2 linked regions of the Anolis sagrei genome follow. The protein of the gene in region 1 purifies or fractionates together with the protein of each later gene. This does not show direct contact. Links are inferred from orthologs where the notes say so. Each region holds a gene or a part of one and is shown on either strand. Other genes may lie near its edges.

What was found. The genes of interacting proteins can lie anywhere in the genome.
Region 2: the proteins of CHD4 (region 1) and BCL11B purify together in Homo sapiens (affinity purification with mass spectrometry; 4 studies listed by BioGRID and IntAct, with this or other methods). This does not show direct contact. The link is inferred for Anolis sagrei from reciprocal best matches to the Homo sapiens genes CHD4 and BCL11B.

The regions. Positions count from the first base shown.
Region 1 is NC_090022.1:197,399,721-197,410,878, reverse strand, and holds the start of CHD4 (chromodomain-helicase-DNA-binding protein 4), read left to right. Parts: upstream 1-6,505; 5' UTR 6,506-6,622; intron 6,623-11,158. UniProt on the Homo sapiens protein: ATP-dependent chromatin-remodeling factor that binds and distorts nucleosomal DNA. Acts as a component of the histone deacetylase NuRD complex which participates in the remodeling of chromatin.
Region 2 is NC_090021.1:321,126,366-321,137,589, reverse strand, and holds the start of BCL11B (B-cell lymphoma/leukemia 11B), read left to right. Parts: upstream 1-6,494; 5' UTR 6,495-7,939; coding exon 7,940-7,997; intron 7,998-8,095; exon of another isoform or gene 8,096-8,178; intron 8,179-11,224. UniProt on the Homo sapiens protein: Key regulator of both differentiation and survival of T-lymphocytes during thymocyte development in mammals.

The sequences.
Region 1 (11,158 bases):
AGTATTGCTATCGCATTTGATGTATGGGACGTAGTTAAGACAAGTAGGGGTTGAACTAGATCAGTGGTTCCCAACCTTTTTTTGGCCAGGGACCACTTTGACCAGGGATCACTCTCCAACATTAGTACCAAAAGGGTTACGAATCAGTTTTTGGTCAGCTTTCGATTTGATTTGGTCATTTGGGGTGCTGATTCAGAAAATCACATTGGATAGACCACGTCAGCTCTAGTTTCTGATACAGAACATATGCCATCCAGTAGTTGCCATCTGCTTGCCCACAGAAAACCATATTTAATAAGTCTTGGCACTAAAAGGGTTTCGCAAGAGCAGTCACTCTCGTTGCAATAGTGTAGTAATGGTGAGGCTGCAGACCATATTTTAGTTCTTGCAGACTAATGATGGTCCATAGACCACAGGTTGGGAACTACTGGACTAGATGGACCTTGCCATCACTTTAACATTTTACATCACCAGGTGAGCTCAGTGCTATAAAGTGCACCAGGTGACACTATCAGACTGGGTTGCATCAAAATGAGTGTCTATAAGATTTTTGTGCAATATTTTGACAGAAATGTATTATTTTAGGTATAAAATATGTACAAATACAAAAGGATTTTTCATTAGCTTAATTTACATGTATTGATCTATCTACAAGGCTAAAACTCCATACAAGTGTGTTTTTGAACCTTCTGGTGAGCATGCACTATGTCAGAGCTGTCATTATCCTAATACAATGGTGCTTTGAACACATGGCTTCATCTACACACACTGTAAGCATGCTCTATTGTTCTCACTGCTGGTTTTTTTTATAAATGCTGATTTTGCCCAATTTTCTGGTATTTTAGTTGTGATATTGTGATATAGTCTGGCACAGGAGGTGGTCCATCAGAGGTGGGGGAGTGGGATGATACCATGAGTTACTTGGGTGGCATCAACATTACTGACACCATTGCTATTAGATATTGTTTGTGATTACTGTGCCCTTGAGAGCTCATACTGAATAGAAATAAAAGATAGACATTCTTGAAACTGACATAGGTAATGCAATTTTTTCTACAATCTTCCACTTTCATGGATTTCATTGTCATGGATTTGATTCATGTGCTGCCAGCTTATGGCTCCTGAAGCCCCATCCTCAGGAGGTGAGTGGAGGAGCTGTTCAGGAGTTGAGTGTGCCCCAAGTTTCCGTTCTGCCCTGTAACTTCCTTTGCCCAGGTAAAACAGGCACTTGCGGCACAAAGGAAGAAGAGTGGCCGACCCCATGTACTACTTAACTTTTTCCATGGATCTGGCTCCGCTTCCTGTGTTCCATGAATATCTGTTTTTCCCAGGCAAAGAAAGATATAAGCACACAGGAAGAAGAGGAATTGGACTCACCAGATAAGTTGCAGGTGCACGTCCTCTTCCTGTTTGCTTGTTTTTATGTTCCCCATATTTACCCTTGCCTAGGCAAAACAAACATTTGCAGCATGTGAGAAAAGTAAAAGGATCTGATGTGTGTACAATAAGTGAAATGGTGCACAGGATTAGCTCCTCCTCCTCACACTGGGACCACAGCAGGTAATGCCCCATCTTGCTGCTGGAGATATTAATAGTTTTTCTATTTTTGTGGGAAGGCCTGGTCTGTAATTCCATGAAAGTGGAGAGACAACTGTACTTCGGCCTGCAAAATATCTACAGGGATAAATACCCCTAATATATAACTCAAGTACAAGAATGATTATCTAATATTTCAAGTCTAAATAGTTTTGTAGTAGCAGTTCTTCACCTAAGATGGACTGTTTGCTAGTCAAACAATTTTAATATTAGCTCTTCTTTACTATCTCCAGTATACCCGTCATCATCCCATATTCTCAGAAGATATGTTCCTAGGATTCACATGGATACACAGAACAGCAAACTACTGAAACGAAGTACCTCTGGCCCAAGAATATCATAGAATCACACTAGAAAATGTCTAGAGAAGATGGATTTTGTCGGATGGGGATAACCAAGGGGGCATAATGTTTTAAATCAACTACTGAAAAATGAAAACTTTCCATGTTTAATATGATGTTCAATTCCATTATTGATCCAACCAGAGTTGCAACTGTTTTATAATCAGTCAGCAAAAGCCTTTTCAGGCATTGTTTACAATTTATTAGTTCATCATTTCAGATGGGATGCTTGTTTTAGGAAAGCAATGTCCTGGCATTTTGCTTTTCTGACAAAACATGTAGCATGCATTTCTGCTCCCCCTGGTACCCTTTCTTTGCCTGAGGGGAAATTGACATTTACGGAACACAGGAAGAGGAAGAGAAGCCAGATCCATGTGGTAAGTGAAGTGGCACATGGAAGCACGCTCCTCTTATTCCTGCATGTCGCAAGTGTTTGTTTCATCCCAGGCAAAGGAAGGGAAGTACCAGGTGAAATAAACATGCAGGATGCCCACCTCCCAAACAACTCCCTCCTGCTCACTTCCTGAGGATGAGGCTACTGTGTAAATGTTCAGATGAGAGCCCCAACTTTGAGCGGTATGGGTGACATTTCAATCTTGTGAATAATCAAAAACATGGGTGGATGCAGGGGCTGCGAAAGCGTGGTGCCCGGAGATGGAACAACTAACTGGACTCCCGCTAGTCCTGCCGGTCTGGTGGAGAATCGATCGGGCTGAAGTTCCGGTGACGAGGGCGCCACGGCCCAATGAGGAAGCAATCGGCCGAAGCGAGGACGCGGCAGCAGCGACACGGTCCGCAGGCAGGGCCCCGTCTCGCCACAGATCGTAATGGCGGTAGATGGTAAATTCAGCCCTTATGCCAGCATGCACATACCTCGCTCAACAGTTAGATGACATCTTTAGGATTGAGGTGAGATCTTTAGGGGTTGAGGGAGCCAGCCGCTCTGTAATGGCGGCGGCGCTCTACCTCAGTCTACCTCGCCTTCCCCGCCTCCTCTTACCCTTCTTCTGAGCCGATCCAGATCGCCAGGGTCTCTTTCGAGTCCCCAGGTTATTCCGGATCTCTTGCTTGATCTGGGGAGGTCAGCGGGGGATCGCTTTGATTTTCAGCGGATTAAAGATCTCAGTCGGCGCAGCTTAAGATCTTGTTGCTCGCCTGACTGGAACCGGAACCAGACCGGAACAGGAACCCTCATTTTGCCCGCGGCATCGTTTGGACACCTTGGGGAAAAACCAAGACAAGTCCCACATTTTGGGCCCATCTGGATGGGCCCGTTGAGGGTCGGAACCAGCCCCCTATTGCTTGTTTCTAGGCTTAAGGCAGGAGTCCCCAAACTAAGGCCCAGGAGCTGGATACAGCCCTCCAAGGTCATTTACCCAGCCCTCACTCAGGGTTAACCTAAGTCTGAAACAACTTGAAAGCACACAATAACAACAACAACAACAACAACCCTATCTCATCAGCCAAAAGCAGGCCCACACTTTCCATTGAAATATTAATAAGTTTATATTTCTTAAAATTGTTCATCGTTTTAATTATTGTATTGTTTTGAAGTGTTTTAGCACTACAAATAAGATATGTGCAGTGTGCATAGGAATTCATTAATTTTTTTTCAAATTATAATCTGGTCCTCCAACAGTTTGAAGGACTGTGACCTGGCCATATGTTTAAAATGTTTGAGGACCTCTGGCTTAAGGCATGGGAGAAGAATCCCAGGGTGCATCTCCATTCAGAATTAATGGAGTTTCATCCCTTTTTAACTGCCATGGCTCAGTGCTATGGAATCATGGAAGTTGTGGTTAGTATAAGGTATTTTGCCTTCTCTGCCAAAGAGGGTTGATGCCCATTATTCCATAGCACTGAAATATAGTAGTTAAAGTGGTGTCAAGTTGCATTAATTCTATAGTGTAGATGCAGACTCTGTGTGTTAGCAGTGACTTAAAGCTGTACTTATACAGTATATGTGCATCAATGCATATACCCCTACTTTTTCTTTCTCTGGATCTTTCAGCTGCAGGTTGCTTTGGAGCTGTTGTGTAGACTATCCAAAGTATTCACCTGCTGGACTGCTTCTTCTCTCTTTGCAAAAAGCATGGTATTACTGTCTCTTTTTAGCTCTCTTTAGGCTGGGGGTCCTCAAATGTTTTAAACAGAGGGCCAAGTCACAATCCCTCAAATTGTTGGAGTGCCAGATTATAATTAGAAAAAAAACCATTAATGAATGCATATGCACACTGCACATATCTTATTTGTAGTGCAAATAACACTTATAAACAATGCAATAATTAAATTGAAGAACAATTTTAACAAATATAAACTTATTCGTATTTCAATGGGAAGTGATAAGTGCTTTTGGCTGATAAGATAGGATTGTTCTTGTTCTTGTGTGCTTTCAAGTCATTTCAGACTTAGGTTGACCCTGAGCAAGGGCCGGGTAAATGACCTTGGAGGGCTGCTTCCAGCCCTCAGGCCTTAGTTTGGAGGGCCCTGCTTTAGGTAATTGTTATAGATCTCTTTTAAGTCCTGATCTCTCTTCTCTTCTTTCCCCTCATGCTGTTGCTTTTTTTTCTCCCCTTCCCAACAACTCATTAAAAATCAGCATTTTCCCGCCCACCTCTCCCCTCTTCCTGCAACTCCTACCTACACTCATTTTCTTCCTTGTTCCCTCTTTCTCCTGCCCCATCAGCTCCTGGCAAATGGTTTATCTTCTACCGAGCTATCTTCTACCGAGCTTCTCCTCCCCAATCCTCTTTCTTTTTTTCCTCCCAATTTTATGCTCTTGCCCCTTGCTGAAAGAAAACGTTAAATCATGACTGGTTATGTTAGATTCTTATCATTTTATAGTTTTATATCACACTGCACCCGATCAAACTTGCTTCTGAATAGACATGTATAGATAAGATTGCCCTATTAATTTCTATTGTACTGCTTGTCTATTACCATCACTGCTGTTGTCATTATTATCATAATTATCATTGTTAGAATCTGGTGATTATAAATAGCATGATCGTGATGGCAATGGTGATAGTAATATGATTTGGGGGAGAGGGAGAAAACCCTGTGAAACATGGCTAGTGAAGGACCCAGGTTAATGAGAGCAATCCATTAAAAAAGGAACGTTTCTTTGGTGAACTGCAACGATAAAAAATAAGTTATTAGAAAAGTATTAAAAACAGAGCTAGGATAACTTATTCTTTTTTCTGTTCAACGTCAAACTGGGAAAACTTTGGTTAGAATGCAACTCCCACATATTGCAAAAACAAGACTTGCAAAGGTTCCAAAAATAGGTTCCAAAATTTCTGTTCAATTGAATACATTGGAAATGTAATTGCCAACAAGTGAAGCATTGTCACATGTGTTAGATTCGGTTAAATTTTACCATTGTTTGTGCTACCTGGTAAATCCAGGTCCCCAGATCAGAATAGAAATGAATGGACTGATTCCAGAGGCAGTTACATACAACCTCGCAAACCTGCTGTAGCAATATGTTGAAATCTACACACTCTAGCCAGGCCAAGACCGCTGTATTGTCATATTACCCTCGGTATCACCAACGCTGCTCCCAGCCAATCACAGAGCTCCACCCAAGCTCCTGTCCATTGTGGGCAACCCATTGTGACATCTCCAACACCCATTGTGAACCCTGAAAGGCCTCTGACCCCCTGCTCCCATTTGCTATCACACTACACAGCGAGTTGTATTTGCGGTGGAGATACATCAGTACCATCTTGACATTACTCTGGTACAAAGTTTTCAGTGGTGTCATATCGCCCAGATCAGATGGTGTAGGATACTTAAACAAATGCTAAAATCTCTCCATCTGACATAATTTGAGCATATAAATGCAATCTAAAATTCGATAAAAGTTAAAACTTTTATCGAAAAATAAAATCCAAAAACTGAAACAATCTCAGAAGAGAAACAACCTTTTAAAAAAAAACAACACCCTTTTTATGTGCACATGTATGAATGTTTTGCAATTATAATCAGCGCAACCTTGTTCAGCCATGAGAGTGAGTCTTTTTTTTGTGATCTTACAAACTCTACTGGGAATAGTATGCAAAGGGTCACCTTTGAAACCAACTGGGGCAGTTCAAGACAACATCAAATCACGTGCTTTAGTCAGGGGCAAAACAACCCAGGACCTGAGAAGATGTCCAAATACAAACTTGTTGGTCCCGGGATTTCTGCCTCTGTCATCCACACTTGCTGCTTTGTCGCAGGATTTTGCAGTACCCAAGATAGCGGCCATCACGGGACATCCACCAGAAATTAAGATGCAAGCATGCAAATCATTGTATAAGTTCAGTTCCTGGGTTATATAAACTGCAGGGCCATCTGTGCAGACAGGGCTTTGTTGGGTTATATATGTCTGTTCCTGATTGCATTGACCACGGAGCCATGTGTTTCATGAAGTTTCTGGCACACAACAAAGTTTTCATGTTCCACTGAACTATCATCTTCTTTTTAGGAACTGACCAATCAGGAACAAACATCTAAAATCCAGGAACAAACCCAGATTAAAAAATCATGTGTTTTCAATTGCAGGGACATACAGACATTTGAATATGCGGATTTTCAGCTCAGAACTGGGATTTTCCCACACCTAAAAATCTTGCGTCCGCGATTACAGGGAATAGCGTCTGGTCACCCTCCTGTTTGCTGTAGAAGCTCCTGGGATAAAGGTACTGTTTGGACAGGCCCTGCGAGAAAGAAATTGGTAGCATAAGCTTTCATAAACTTATATTTAGTTCTTGCATCTGGTGAAGTAGCATTAATACAAGATATGCAAGCTTATGCTACCAACTGCTGTCTCTCAGTCTCAAACGTGCTGCAAAATCCCTTTTACATACTGATATTCCAGTCATAGTCTGGAATATAAATATGCATGTCTGAATTGTATTGGAATGAAATCGTAACCAATCTCAACATTGTGGCCATAACTGTATAGGAGTTGTTAATCTATAGAGTTACATTTGTTACATAGGCCTGCCAAGATACATGAAAATACTGTTTTCCCTCCCCTATATCTGCTTTTAAAATGGTAACATGTTACTTGTATTGATTCCTATGTCCTTTGACCACCGTATATACTTGTGTATACGTTGACGGCATGTATAAATTGAGGGGAGATTTTATTGATGTGATGCGTAACCTGTACACAGAACAAGAGACTACTGTTAGGACAGAATACAGAGAAACAGAATGGTTTCCAATTGGCAAGGGGGTCAGGCAAGACTGCATTTTATCACACAATAAAGATATGCTAACAATATAATATGCAAATCAGTATTAGATTTGGAGGAAGAAGGCATGAAGATTGGAAGAAGAAACATCAGAAATGCAAGGATGCATCTACATTGGCCAGAAATGGTGATGCTGATCCGGGGAACCCTATGGAGTATCCAGAAGCCAAACTGCATGCTTCCAAGTCAGTTTGGGAACTGGATGGCAACCACAGTACTTAGCTCCAGGCTGGCCTGGTGGTTGGATGGTGGCCACAAAGCCAGGTGACACCAGAACTGGTAATATGCTGCTTGACTATATCCCTTGCTTTGCCCTATTGTTCTGGCCTTTTTAGTGCCCATGGGGCACAAAACTGGCACTGGTCACTGCTCAGCACCTGAAATGACAACAGGCATGAACTCTCCTAGAAGCCAAGATGACTAAACAGAGACCGATGTCCTTTGACCACATCATGAGAAGATGTGACTGAAAATACATTAATGCTTGGAAAGGCAGAAGGAAAAGAGGAAGGCCGCATTCTAGATACAGAGACTCTATCAAGTGACCTGAGAAAGGTGGCTGACGATTGATAGGGCAACTTGGAGGTCTCTCATTCATGGGGTCGCCATAAGGCAAATCAACTTGGAGGAAGCAAACCACAACAGCAAAACGTTTGGTGTTTTAATGAGAACCCATCATGGTCTGGAATGGTGTGTCTATGGGCCCTTCCACACAGCCCTATATCCCAGAATATCAAGGTAGGAAATCCCACAATATCCGAGTGTGGACTCAGATAGCCAGTTCAAAGCAGATATTGTGAGATTTTCTGCCTTTATATTCTGGAATATAGGGCTATGTGGAAGGGCCTTTAGTTTTTAGGCCTGTGTCTGGAGTTATTCAGAATTTAGAAAATTGCATTGGATAGACCTCATCAGCTCTACTTTCTTGGATATTGATATATATATTTATATATCAATATCCTTTTAATATATGTGTGTTATGGCAACAATTTTATGCTGATATTGTTTGTTAATCTTATGGTTATGTTGTTTACTCTGTATGTATTGATGATGTTACTTGGAAACAGCTCTGAGCCCCCCCCCCCCCCCTGGGAGACAGAGCGGTATATAAACCTCTATCTCTATAATAATATATAAACCTCAATAATAATAATAATAATAATAATAATAATAATAATAATAACTTTATATAAAGTTATTATTATTATTATTATTATTATTATTAGTAGTAGTAGTAGTAGTAGTAGTATTGGTATTGGATATGGTGATGCTTTTCTAATGACAAACAACTGGTAGATGGCATATGTTCTATATTTCAAAAAGCAGAACCAAGAGGGGAAAACTGATGCCACTTTTGGAACCAGCAGGGTTAAATATACCCAGAAACAGGTCTAACCTTTGAGGCCAGTGATACATATCCAGTTTTATTTTCATCAACTCGGTTTAATGAACTTTTGTTTTAAATTTGGATCAAATTTTCAGGTGCTTAGCAAAACAAAAACAGTGGGCCCAGTATTCATTGGATGTTTATGTGATGGCTATCCCAGAAATCCAGGCTAGTATGAAGCAGGCTTTTTCTTTCCCTGAGCAATTGCTCAAAGGCTCAGCCAAAATGCTCCGTATCAGTTCAAATTGCGGACGCAGATGAGTCAGGAAAGACGGCCAACAGGGTTCAACAAGAATATCAAAGTTTATTTATAGCAGCTGCTAGTGGCTTTTCGACACAACAAATGGCGTCTCTGGAAAAGCCCCCGAGCATCAAAGGTAGTGTTCTTTTATACATCAAAAAGGGGTTCGGCTTTAAGAGCCGCCCCGAAGATTAAATCATTGGTTAAAAAAGCTGTCAATATTATAATTAATATTAAGCAATTAGCTCATATATTTTTAAGTTTCGCTTCGCAATAAGCAAGCCCCTTCTTGGAAACATGCAAAATGCTGACATGCAAAATACAGCTGAAAACATTTGCTGATTTTGGGCAAGTTCTAACTTTAGCCTTGGCTACTTCCTTTTTGCAAAGTTGGCAAGTCTCATGACCGATTTTTCACCCTTTCACAAAAAAAAAAAACTCATCTTTAGTCTGTCTTTGTCTCCCATATATGGTCAAGTTCATCCGTTCTCTTTCTACATGCAAACCTCGACAGCTTTAGTAAAACTACAGCTGTGCTTTTTACCTTTTCTATAGCTGTACCTTTCTGCCTTATTCCCTCATGTTTTTGTTTTGCGAAGCGGTTTACAAAAGCGAGAGCAAATCAGCAAGGGTTAGATATTACGGATCTCTCCAATTATGCCCTTTAATGAGAGCTATCTTTTCTACCGAAGCTGCCTGATGCATATATCTCTGGCAAACTTGAAGCAAAATTGGAAAACAACACATTAGCAACAAAAAGACAAAACCGCATAGCATAATCACAAGTATTATTTCTCTAAGCCATGATGCTGAAGGAAGCAGAGACGTCAACCATGAGAAAGGTTGCCATCCATCTTCCTTTACGTTATGATTTATTAACTCTTGCAATTTTTCCAAATCATCTTCAATTGTTTGGTTCAGATTATGAAATTGGACCACGCACCGGCCCTTTATTATAGAACAGAATCCTCCTTTTGTTGCCAACAAATAATCTAGGGCTAGCTTGTGTTGCATTGCCATTTGGCTTAGTTCTTCAATTTCTGATTGTAATTGTCTAACTATTTTTCCTGTGGCATTTATGCTTTTCTCTAATCTACATGTGAGTCCCATGATACTCTTTCTGTTTTCTTGGGCCATTATTCCAGGATAGGACCCGAGGGTTAGGAGCCCTGTTATTAATCCTCCTCCTATCCTTGAGCCTCCAGTTTCGGACAGTTGTGAGTCTATAATCACTTCGTCTGAGCACTCAGGTCCTAGGGGTGCTATGGCTTTTAAAGATCTCTGAAGCCTCCTAGGGTGTTTAAGGACTCGTACAGGGAATGTCAGGTATCCTACCCCAACACACTGGTTTCTTCCTGGATGAAAATTGGTTGCCCATTTATCAAAGAAAAACCACATATTGGGATCTCTAATATGCCATCCTGAACAAATACTGCCTCCATTTCTCAGGGATGTGTAATTTGACTCAAACAGCGGGTACTCAGGGTACAGTTCCTTCCAGTCCGTGTCGGCCAGATTTTGTTTGTTAACATATGTAGAGTTATAGGTTCCATATAAATAAAACTTGTCCTGACAGTGAGTGTAATTTGTCAACCTTGTTAGGAAGGCTTTTCTGTGCTCCCAGCCTTTCCATTTTTGATTCCATGTACCCTTGTTTGCACAACAAAAACACATTTCTCTCGTGGTGGCAGTATATCTTATTCGTCTAAATTTAATGTGTTTTAATCCATCGGGGACCTGAGAAAATATGGTGGGATTTTGAATAGTTCCTTGTAACCCCCCGAGCACCACCTGGGGGTCAGCTATTAGGGTAGGGAGGAAGGAGAAGTCACCTACTTTCTCTGGATGTTCATATAGGAGTGCCACATCTTTTCCATGCTGATCAAACATGAATCTAGCATGCTCTTTTAGCCAATTTCCCTGTATCATAGTGATCATGTTTATAAGCATCATATATCCAAAAACCGTTCGAACTCCTATTGGTTTTCTAGGGCATCTTTCCCTCCTCCCCATTATAATCTCTATCCACCACTTCCAAGATAGGGCTTTCGTTGGGCCACACTGCGTCATACTTGACCTGCGACGATCTGTTGTTCCCGAAGAGGTCAGCTTCATGGCCTTGTTGACCCCTCAGGGAGTTGCCGGACGATCCTGAGTCTCAGGTCACTCTGATCTGCCTTTTTTATCTCCCACATGGGGGGTGCCAGCTTGGCACGGGTGTAATGTATCCAAGGTTTAACTTCCTTCACTTTAATGGCAGTAGGGGTTGATATCAGCACAGTATAGGGCCCTCTCCACTTGGGTCCTAGTGGGTCAATCTTCCACTCTTTCACAAGCACCTCGTCAC
Region 2 (11,224 bases), on another chromosome or scaffold:
CCGTTCCTCCCGGTGTCGCTTCTGGGATGTGAAATCCACACGTGCGGGTGTTGGCGGGATTTTAGTGGCGCGTTGTGGCCCCCTCCTTTCCGCCCACTCTCATTCAGAGGACGTGACCTTGAAATGGGGAGGGAATGGGGAGGGGGTCCTATTTGGGGGAGTGGGGAATCCTCAAAGTGTTTTGAGTGTCCCAATGTCCCCCCAAGCCCTTCCCTCTTTAAACTCCTCTGTGGATCCTTTAAGGCGCCCCCCCTCCCCTTTCCAACCCTCTCTCCTTTTCTTTGGGATTGTTTGGAAAACTTTTTGGAAGAATTGCGCGCGTGGAAAGAGATCACTCGGAAATCCCTTCGTAGTGTGTATACCATGCTGTTGAAGGCTTTCGTGGCCGGAATCACCGGGTCGCTGTGAGTTTTCCCCAGGCTGTCCGGCCATGTTCCAGAAGCATTCTCTCCTGACGTTTCGCCCACATCTATGGCAGGCATCCTCAAAGGTTGCGAGGTATATTGGAAACTAGGTAAGTGGGGTTTATAATATCTGTGTAAGGTCCACGGTGGGAGAAAGAACTCGTTCTCTGTTGGGGGAATCCCAACAAAGGATTCCCCCAGGCAGGAGGCATCCAGGCTTTGAAGCTGCAAGGCCATTCAATGGTAACCAAGGTAGCCAATTGCAACATTCACATATGCCTCAAAAAGGTAAGAGTTCTATTCCCCCACTCTAGACATTTCACAGATATATATAAACCCCACTTGCCTAGTTTCCATCAGACCTCACAACCTCTGAGGACGCCTGCCATAGATGCGGGCGAAACATCAGGAGAGAATGCTTCTAGAACATGGCCATACAGCTTGGAAAACTCACAGTAACCTCCAGGCAGGAAGCAGCCAGGCTTTGAAGCTGCAAGGCTATTCAATAGTAATCAAGGTATATCAACCCCACTTGCCCGTTTTGCCCACATCTATGGCAGGCATCCTCAGAGGTTGTGAGGTCTGTTGGAAACTAAGCAAGAGAGGTTTATAATATCTGTGGAAGGTCCAGGGTGGGAGAAAGAACTTTGTCTGTTGGGGAAATCCCAACAAAGGATTCCTCCAGGCAGGAAGCAGCCAGGCTTTGAAGTTGCAAGGCTATTCAATGGTAATCAAGGTAGCCAATTGTAAACATTCACACTTTCCTCCAACAGACAAGAGTTCTTTTTCCCACCCTGGACATTATTCCACATATATATCAACCCCACTTGCCTAGTTTCCAACAGACCTCACAACCTCTGGGGATGCCTGCCATAGATGCAGGGGAAACGTCAGGAGAGAATGCTCCTGGAACATAGCCATGCAGCCTATAAAACTCACAGTAACCCCCAGGCAGGGAGCAGCCAGGCGTTGAAGCTGCAAGGCTATTCAGTGGTAATCAAGGTAGCCAATTGCAACATTCACACTTGCCTCAAGCAGACAAGAGTTCTTTTTCCCACCATGGACATTATTCCACAGATATATCAACCCCACTTGCCTAGTTTCCAACAGACCTCACAACCTCTGGGGATGCCTGCCAGAGATGCAGGGGAAATGTCAGGAGAGAATGCTTCTGGAACAGGGCTATATAGCCCGGAAAACTCACAGCAACCCTGTGTGTGTGTGTGTGTATACAACCATCTTGTGGAGCAAGTCCTGCGCTGTTCTGCTCAGGAGTAAGTGCCAGTGCCTTGAAAAAAACCGAATTCCCCAGCCTCAGCCAAGTTGGCAATTCCTCCTGCAGAAATCCAGAGCCCTCCTTTCAGCCCGGAAAGTCCCCCCCCCCCCCATGTGGGAATGAAGGAGGTCACTACACCTGTCTGAGCTTGTCCCAAACCTCCCTCAGGCTTGATGGAAACTGAGCCGCACCTTTGCACTGATCACTGCAAAGGAATCACCCTTTTGGGTCCTTCTGAAAGGGAGGGTGAAGGGACTTGGAATGGGAAGGAGGCCTATCTTGGGCAACTTTGGGACCCTCCTGAGAAAAACAAGAGGGAGCCCTTTCTGCACCAGTTCTCCCTTGGAGTCCCCACACACCTTACAGGAGAAGGGAGGCCCAAACTTTTGGTACTCAGGTGAAGAAGGGATTTTCCAGGCAAAGGCTATGGGCTGAAAAAAGGCAAATTAAGATCTTGAGGATGGAGTTGCCTTCAAGCCTTTCTTGATGCACTGCAACCCTAAAAGTTGTGAGGTCTGTTGGAAATGAAGAAAATGGGGTTCACATCTCTGTGGAATGTCCAGGGTGGGAGAGAGAACCCTTGTCTGGGTTGTTGTAGGTTTTTCGGGCTATATGGCCACGGTCTAGAGGCATTCTCTCCTGAAGTTTCGCCTGCATCTATGGCAAGCATCCTCAGAGGTAGTGAGGTCTGTTGGAACTAGGAAAAGGGGTTTATATATCTGTGGAATCACCAGGGTGGGGCAAAGGACCCTTGTCTGTTGCAGGCTAGTGTGAATGTTTGCAATTGGCGATCTTGATCACCACTGAATAGCCTTGCAGCTTCAAAGCCTGGCTGCTTCCTGCATGGAGGTTACTATGAGTTTTCCAGGCCATGTTCCAGAAGCATTCTCTAGAGTTGGAATCCTAGAGTTGGAAGAGACCTCTTGGCCCATCCAGTCCAACCCCCTGCCAAGAAGCAGGAAAATCACCTTCAAAGCACCCCGACAGATGGTCACCCAGTCTCTGTTTAAAAGCCTCCAAAGGAGCCTCTACTACTCTCCAGGGCAGAGAGTTCCACTGCTGAACAGCTCTCACAGTCAGGAAGGTCTTCCTCGTGTTCAGGTGGAATCTCCTTTCCTGAAGTTTGAAGCTAGTCTCCAGGGCAGCAGAAAATAAGCCTGCTCGCTCCTCCCTATGACTTCCCCTCATACGTGGTCATCATCATGTCTCCTCTCAACCTTCTCTTCTGAAGGCTAAACATATCCAGCTCTTTAAGCTGCTCCTCATAGGGCTTGTTCTCCAGACTCTTGGTCAATTCTCCTTTGGATTCTACACACACCTTACAGGAGGAAGGAGGCCCAAACTTTTGATACTCAGGTAAAGAGGAAGGGATTTTCCAAGTGAAGGCTAAGGAAAATTAAGAACTTGAGGATGGAGTTGCCTTCAAACCTTTCTCAACACAAGAGGACTCTAAAACGCACTCATTCTGTGGCAAAGTTGCTTCAGAGTGGGTTTGCCATGGCCATCTTCTGAAGCTGAGAGAGTGTGACTAGTGAGTTTCCAAGGGACTGAGAGAGGACTCGAAGCCTGGTCTTCCTGAAACCTTATTGTTTTAACTACTCAGTCACTTAAAAGGACAGTGTAGGTCCTTGGGCCTTCCCTCCAGTTGTTCTGGACCCCAACTCCCATCATTCCTAACAGCCTCAGGTCCTTTCCTTTTCGTGAAAAGGAAGGAGCCTGAGGCTGTTAGGAATGGTGGGAGTTGAAGTCCAAAACACCTGGAAGGCCCAAGTTTGCCCATGTCTGATGTTGATATAGAATTAATGCAGCTTGACACCACTTTCGCTGTCAGGGCTCATGGCTTTTGGAATAATGGGAGTTGTATTTTGGTGAGGTACCAGCACCCTTAAAAGTTGTCAATCTACCTTTCCCATGCTTCCATGGCAGCTAAAGTGGTCTCAAACTGGACAGTACAGATTTGCTTTCAGTCAGGTGAACAAGCCCTATGAGGAGCAGCTTAAAGAGCTGGGTATGTTTAGCTTGCAGAAGAGAAAACTGAGAGGAGACATGATGAGGGCCATGTATCAAGATGTGTGGGAGAAGTCATAGAGAGCAGGCCTGTTTTCCACTGCCCTGGAGACTTGGATGGCTTCAAACTACAGGAAAGGAGATTCCAGCTGAACATGAGGAACAACTTCCTAATTTTGGGAACTGTTTAGCAGTGGAACTCTCTGCCCCGGAGTGTGTTGAAGGCTCCTTCTTTGGAGGCTTTTAAGCAGAGGCTGGATGGCCATCTGTCAGGGGTGCTTTGGAGGCGATTTTCCTGCTTCTTGGCAGAGAGTTGGACTGGATTGGCCCACAAAGTCTCTGAGAAAAAAATCCACTTTAAATCTGATTGCTGCCTCCTGCAGAATTCTGGAGTTTGTAGTTTAGGGAGGAACCTTTAACAGCTTCACTTAAGTGGATTTCTCTCTCTCTAGTGTGATGAAGTGGTAGAAGTAATACCATTCTATGAGGGGATCCTTGAGGACTAGCGCCTTGGCCACAGTCCTTGGAGAAAGAAGGGCAGGCTCTCCAACTTCAAAGGGAAGCTGCTGATTAGGCAGCTGAGGGGGAAAAGGAAAGGGCCTGAGGTTGTTAAGAATGGTGGGAGTTGCAGCCCAAAACACCTGGCGGGCCCAAGTTTGCTGTTATATCCACACGAGATGCCTGAACACATGCGTGTTTGAGAGAGAGAGAGTGTGTGCACGTGTGTCTGTCTTTGTGGCTCCCTCTGCAATCGCAATTCCGATGGAGAGACTGGAAGAGAAGAGAGAGAGGGAAAGGGGGGGGGGGTGGTGGAATTGAGAGAGAGAGATCTCTCTTCCTTCCCCCACGCAGATATTTGTGTTATTGTAAAAAGCAGTGGGAAATGCGCGGGGAAGGTGTTTGGATCCTGCTCGCCGCCTCGAATTGCTTGCGCTCGAGGAAAGCAAGCAAGCAAGCCAGCAAACCGGAGCGTGGAGTTGGCCTGGGCTTTGGTTGGGGGGGGGGGGGCAATGGGGGAGGGTGGGAGCCTATGGATCTCCTGGTGGAGCCACGACCCAGCCGCGTGGGAGAGGTTGGAAGGAAGGGAAGGGAAAGGAGAGGAGGGAAGAAGGCACCGAGGGAGGGCGAAAGGTGAGCAGGTGGATCCGGGGAGAGAAAACCGCTCTGGACCTCTCTCCTCCACTTCTCCTCCTCCTTCCCCATCCTGCCCTCCTTCCAACTCTTCCTTGCCCTGGCTAGGGCTCTTCTTCCGGCGCCGGCTTGCTTGGCTTCACCCCCTCCTTCTTTCCTTCCTTCCCTCCCACCCCCAGCCCTTTCTCTCCAGTCTCCCCGAAGGCTTAGAGAGAGAGAGAGAGAGAGAGAGAGAAGAGAGAGAAAGGTCCGTCCCATTTGGGCTCCTTTCCAGCAGGGTGGGCGGGCGCGCGGGATGGAGGAGGGAGGTGGGCTCGGGTCCTGCTCACCTTTGGTGCCTTCTTCCCTCCTTTCCTTTCCCTTCTCTCCAACCCTAGAGAGCCTTCCTTCCCCCCAAAGACCTCCTTCTCTGCTGTGGTCGAAAGGTGGGCTTGGGTCCAGCTCACCTCTCAACCTCCCTTAGGTATCTCCTTCCCTCCTTTCCTTTCCCTTCTCTCCAACCCTAGAGAGACTCCCCCCCCCCCCCAAGACCGTCTCCTCCTCTGCTTTGCCAAAAGGTGGGCTCGTGTCCTGCTCACCTCTCGACCTCCCTTTGGTGCCTTCCCTCCTCCTTTCCTTTCCTTTCCCTCCCCCCTTCCTTCCCCCCTAAGACCTCCTTCTCTGCTGTGGTCGAAAGGTGGGCTTGGGTCCAGCTCACCTCTCAACCTCCCTTAGGTATCTCCCTCCCTCCTTTCCTTTCCCTTCTCTCCAACCTAGAGAGACTTCCTTCCCCCCCTAAGACCGTCTCCTCCTCTGCTTTGCCAAAAGGTGGGCTCGTGTCCTGGTCACCTCTCAACCTCCCTTTGGTGCCTTCTTCCCTCCTTTCCTTTCCCTTCTCTCCAACCCTAGAGCCTTCCTTCCCCCCAAAGATCTCCTTCTCTGCTGTGGTCGAAAGGTGGGCTTGGGTCCAGCTCACCTCTCAACCTCCCTTTGGTGCCTTCCCTCCTCCTTTCCTTTCTCTCCAACCCTAGAGAGCCTTCCTTCCCACTTAAGATCTTCTCCTTCCCTAGCTTCTCATTCTCTGCTTTGGTGGAAAGGTGGGCTCAGGTCTTGCTCACCTCTCAACCTCTCTTGGGTGCCTTCCTCCCTCCTTTCCTTTCCATTCTCTCCAACCCCAGAAAGCCCCCCCCCCCAAGACGAAAGGTGGGCTTGGGTCCTGCTCAACGTCTCTTGGGTGCCTCCCTCCCTCCTTTCCTTTCCCCTCTCTCCAACCCCAGAAAGCCCCCCCCTCAAGACCTTCTCCTTTTCTGCTTTGGTCGAAAGGTGGACTTGGGTCCTGCTCACCTCTCAACCTCTTTTTGGTGCCTCCCTCCCTCCTTTCCCTCCAACCCTAAGAGGCTTCCTCCCACCTAAGACCTTCTCCTTCCCTAGCTTCCCTTCCTCTGCTTTGGCCGAAGAGGCTGCTAGAGTGGAAACCACTCTACTTCCCTTTTTCTCTGCCTCTTTCCCAAGCCAAAGAAGCTTCACCTCTCTTTCCAGATCCCTTTCCTCTTTCTTTCCCCGACTTTCTAAATCCATCTCCTTTTGCAGAAAGTCCAAGGCCAGGTCTGGCTCTTTTCTCCCCCTCTCTCCAAACACACACACACCTCTTCTTTGCTTCTCCTCTCTTTCTCTCTCTTTCCCCCTCTTTCTTCTTCCCTTTCCCCTCTGCCTCTTTCCCAAGCCAGTGAAGCTTCACCTCGCTTTCCAATTCCCTTTCCTTTTTCTAAATCCATCTCCTTTTGCAGAAAGCCCAAGGCCAGGTTTGGGCTTGGAGGGCCCTCCTCTCTCCAAACATACACACACCTCTTCTTTGCTTCTTCTTCTCTCTCTCTCTTTCTCTCTCTTCCCCCTCTTTTTTCCCCTTCTCCTTCCTCCCCCTTCTTCTTCTTCTTGTTCTCTTGCAGGGTACAATGTTAAAAAGCCACCGCTAGTCGCCCCCAGTGCTCCTAGTCTTATTTTTTTTTGTCTCTAGTGCAGATTAAACGTCACGTCCGCACTTGAACTTGAATTTTATCCCATTGTACGGAGGCAGACCCAGCCACAGCGAGACGGAGCGCTCCCAGGGAACCAGGACTCCGCCATCTTCACATTGCAATAGAGCTCTCTCTCTCCCCAGTCCTAGCCAGAAGCACCGGGGGGCTGCCTGCCGAGAGAGAGACAGAGACAGAGAGAGAGACCCTCTTCTGCTGCCAAGCAAAGGGAGGGAGACAGGGGGGCAAAGGCTGCCGCCAAAGCCTAGCCAATAGATAAGAGAGAGAGAGAGAGAGAGATCTATACATCCGATTCTAGACTCCTACTACTACAACAACAAAACCCCAACCTTGAACTGGCACAGTCTGGGCTGCCCTCTCCAAAGAGAGACTCTGAAGTCACCCACCGCCAAAGCTCGGGTGGTTTTCTTTCCTTTCCCCCCTTTTGCCTTTTCTCCCCATTTTTCCCTACTTTTTGGTGTGCCAGCGTGCGTCTCTCTTTTCTCATCCCAGGTGGAAGGAAGAAGTGCACTTTGGTGGCTCTTTTTTCTTCTCTCCCTACATTTTTTTCTCCTTCCCCCCTTCCATCTCTTTCCCCTTCTCCATTCTCTGGAAAAATAAAAAGAAAGTCTTTCTCTGCGCTTGGTGAAAGGGGGGAAGAGGAGGAGGAGGGACACAACCATCCTTCTCTCTTCCCCTGAAGTTCAAGAAACAGATCTGGAAGCGGTTGCAAAGGGAGGGGGGGAAAACCCCCAAAGACAGTTTGCGTTGCCTGGCGAAAATCACCCCAAGCAAGCCTCTCCCCCTCTCTTGGCTTTGGTGCCGGTGATGATGATGATGATGTTTTAATTGAAGGAAGGACCTCGCCTTGAGCGCGCCAAGCAGGCAGAAAGAAAGAAAGAAAGAAAGAAGGGGGGCTGGCCAGAGTTTCGCCTCTTTCTCCATCCAAGGCTTCCTCGCCATCGCCGCTCTTCACCTCATCACCATCTACATTGTGTTTTCTTTCTTCCACCAAGAAGAAGAAAATAGAAGAAGAGAAAAGGAAGAAGATTGCTCCCCCTTCCTCCTCCTCCTCCGACCCGGCTCTCAAGTCCAGCTCTCCGGGCGATGACCGTGTAAATGCCAGGGCAATGTCCCGTCGCAAGCAGGGCAACCCGCAGCACTTATCGCAACGGGAAATTATCACGCGTAAGTTGCAAAAAAGGAGGGACGAGGGGGGAAAGAAGAGTGCCTGGATTGCGTGCGCTTTTGGAGAAACTAGGGAAGGAGGGGGGGGGAACCCGGTTGGGGAGGAGAGATGGGAACTTGGGGAGCCTCCTTGTGCCTCCACGAAGGGAAGCAAGGAAGGTGCCCAACTGGGAGACTTAAGGTAGGCTTGGGACTGCAGAGTTGGAGGGAGAAAAGGAGAGGATGCTGGAGAGGGGATTGGGAAGGCGCACAGAGGCGAAGGCAGACATCCAGAGGCGCGTCTGGACGTTTAGACAAGTTTGGAGCCAATTTGGAAACGGTTTGGGGGTTCAACCGTGCTCCGATTTAAGCCTAGGGATGTGTGCGTGTGTTTGGAAGCCTAAGGTAGGTGTATTTGTGCAATACAAGGAAAGGAAGAGGAGTTGGAGGAAGAAAAAAAGAAAGAAAGAAAGAAAGAAAGGAGGAGAACCCTAGAATGCAGGAAAGGAGGGCGCAGAGTGGAGAGGGAAAGTTGGGGCGAATTTGAAACCGGTGTAGGGAGTAAATCTGCTTTGGTGTATACCTGGTTATGCGTGTGCGTGTTTGAGAGACTCAGGTGGGTGCAAGGAAAGGGAAGAGTTGGAGGAAGAAAGGACAAAGATGCTGGATTTGGAGGGGCTTTGCAAAGCGCGCCTGGCTTGGAGAGCAGGGCGCACGGTGGAGAGAGGGAAAGAGGTCTCTTCTAAGCAAAGTTTGGGGGGGAGGTAAACCTAAGGGTAGGCCATAACACGTTGTGTGTGTGTGTGGGGAGTGTTGTGCTGTGGGAGACCCACTCGAAGGACTTGGAGACAGAGAAAGAAAGGGAGTAAAAGCCAGTCCAAACTTGGAGAGGGAGAAGAAAGGTGGCTGGAGTGAGGTGGGGGAGAAAGTCAGGGGCTTAATGGGAACCACATGGAAAGGAGGCCGGCATGAGGAGCTGGGGAGAAGTAAGAGGAGGGGGGTAGAGGGTGGAAAGCCTCCCCTGGGATCCTTTTCTGCTCCAAAATAGAGGAAACCCAGGACTTCTAGGTGAGGATGAGAGAGGCGCGAGTCAGTGGACAGGTAGTTGGAGAGGCTTCCCACAGCCTTCTCCTCTTAGGACACCTTTTTGTGTTGAACATAATACTATAGGGAGAGTGGGGGGATGTGTCTGTCAAGTTCTCCTTTTCAAGAAGGGGATGGGAAGGGAGGGAGGGCAGGTATACATGTGAGCTGGGAGGGGAGGGTGGGAAATGCAAGTGGGGGGAGAGAAGAGAGAGAAAGGAACCTGGTGCAGGGAGGGGAGCCCCTCTTTGCATGGGCCGAGCGCAAACAGCTTTGCAGGAAAACGTCCTGCAAATAAGGCGCTACTTTTTTGCAAAAGGGGTGATGGTGTCCTGCAAATAACAAGGCGCCACTTTTGCAAAGGATTTGATGGTTGTGGTGAGGACAGGCTGCACACAGAGAAATAGTTGCAAGGTTTCTCCAGGGAGGTAGAAGTGGGCAGAGAGATATCTAGAACGGGGTGGTCTTTGCACAAGAAGCCAGTTGTGTCTCTGTTTGGGGAGAAAGAGTTGGGATCCAGGGATAAGGTCCATCCAAGGAACGAGGGGAGTGTCGAGAGCTTTTCTAAGCAGATCCTCCTTCCTTGCCCATTCAAAACCACGTTTTTTGAATGGATAACCCTAACCCCTTTCTATCTCTTCCTCATCTCTATTTCTTCCTATGTCAATGAAGCAGATGTCCAACACTTGAAGGTCCTCTTTTTGGCTCTGCTTTGCAAGCCCTCTCTCTGGGCTTGACTTAACTGGGGTCCATTGGGTGCATGTGGGTCATTAACAGTGAAAAATAATAATAGTCCTGGGTAGTTGCAATTGCAATGGTAGTTCCCATTGCAATGAAACATGTCCAACACTTGAAGGTCCTCTTTTTGGCTCTGCTTTGTAAGCCCTCTCTCTCCGGGCTTGACTTGGGTGCATGGGTCACCAACATTGAATAATAATAATAATAATAAGAAGTTGCATAGGTCATCAACATTGAATAATAATAATAATAATAAATAGCCCAGATTAGTTTTCTTCTTATCCCCCCTTTCTCCCTTTTCCTCTTCTCTATTTCTTCCTGGCAATGAAGCAGATGTCCAACACTTGGAAGGTCCTCTTTTGGCTCTGCTTTGCAAGCCCCCCCCCCCCCGACTTATCTAGAGTCCATTGGGTGCATGGGTCAACATTGAATAATAATGATGATGATGATGATGATGATGATGATGATGATGATGATGATGATGATAATAATAATAATAAATGAATAGCCCGGGGTAGTTTTCTTCTTATCCTCCCCTTTCTCCCTCTTCCCCATTCTCTATTTCTTCCTATGGCAATGAAGCAAATGTCCAACACTTGGAAGGTCCTCTTTTTGGCTCTGCTTTGCAAGCCCCCCCCCCCGACTTAATTAGGGTCCATTGGGTGCATGGGTCATCAACATTTAATAATAATAATAATCATATCATCTCAGGTTAGTTTTCTTATTATCCCCCCCTTTCTCCCTCTTCCCCATTCTCTATTTCTTCCTATGGCAATGAAGCAGATTTCCAACACTCCTTTTGGTCCTCTTTTTGGCTCTGCTTTGCAAGCCCTCTCTCTCTCTGGGCTTGGCTTAACTGTGGTCCATTGGGTGCATGGGTCATCAACATTTAATAATAATAATCTCAGGTTAGTTTTCTTCTTATCCCCTCTTTCTCCCTCTTCCCCATTCTCTATTTCTTCCCATGGCAATGAAGCAGATTTCCAACACTCTTTTTGGTCCTCTTTTTGGCTCTGCTTTGCAAGCCCTCTCTCTCTCTGGGCTTGGCTTAACTGTGGTCCATTGGGTGCATGGGTCATCAACATTAAAAATAATAATAATAAATAGCCCGGGGTAGTTTTCTTTTCGGGGTGTTTGTGTATGTGTGTGAGATGGAGTGAAGGAGGGGAAGGAAACAAGCCCAGAGCCCAAGCCAAGCCCTGCAAACGCCGACAGGAACAGCTCCTTTGCAAGCTTCGGCTTCTTGTTTCCATGCAAGCCGTTGCGCCTGGAGAAAAGGGGGAAATGCAGCATGCTTGCGTGTGCAGGAGAAATAGAATATGCATGGGATATATTTGTTCCCAATTTAAATACCTCGATAGGCAGAGACCCCCAGCCTTCCTTCCCCTTCCCCCTCCTCAGTGCAGGGAGCCCAGGACTAGCAGCCA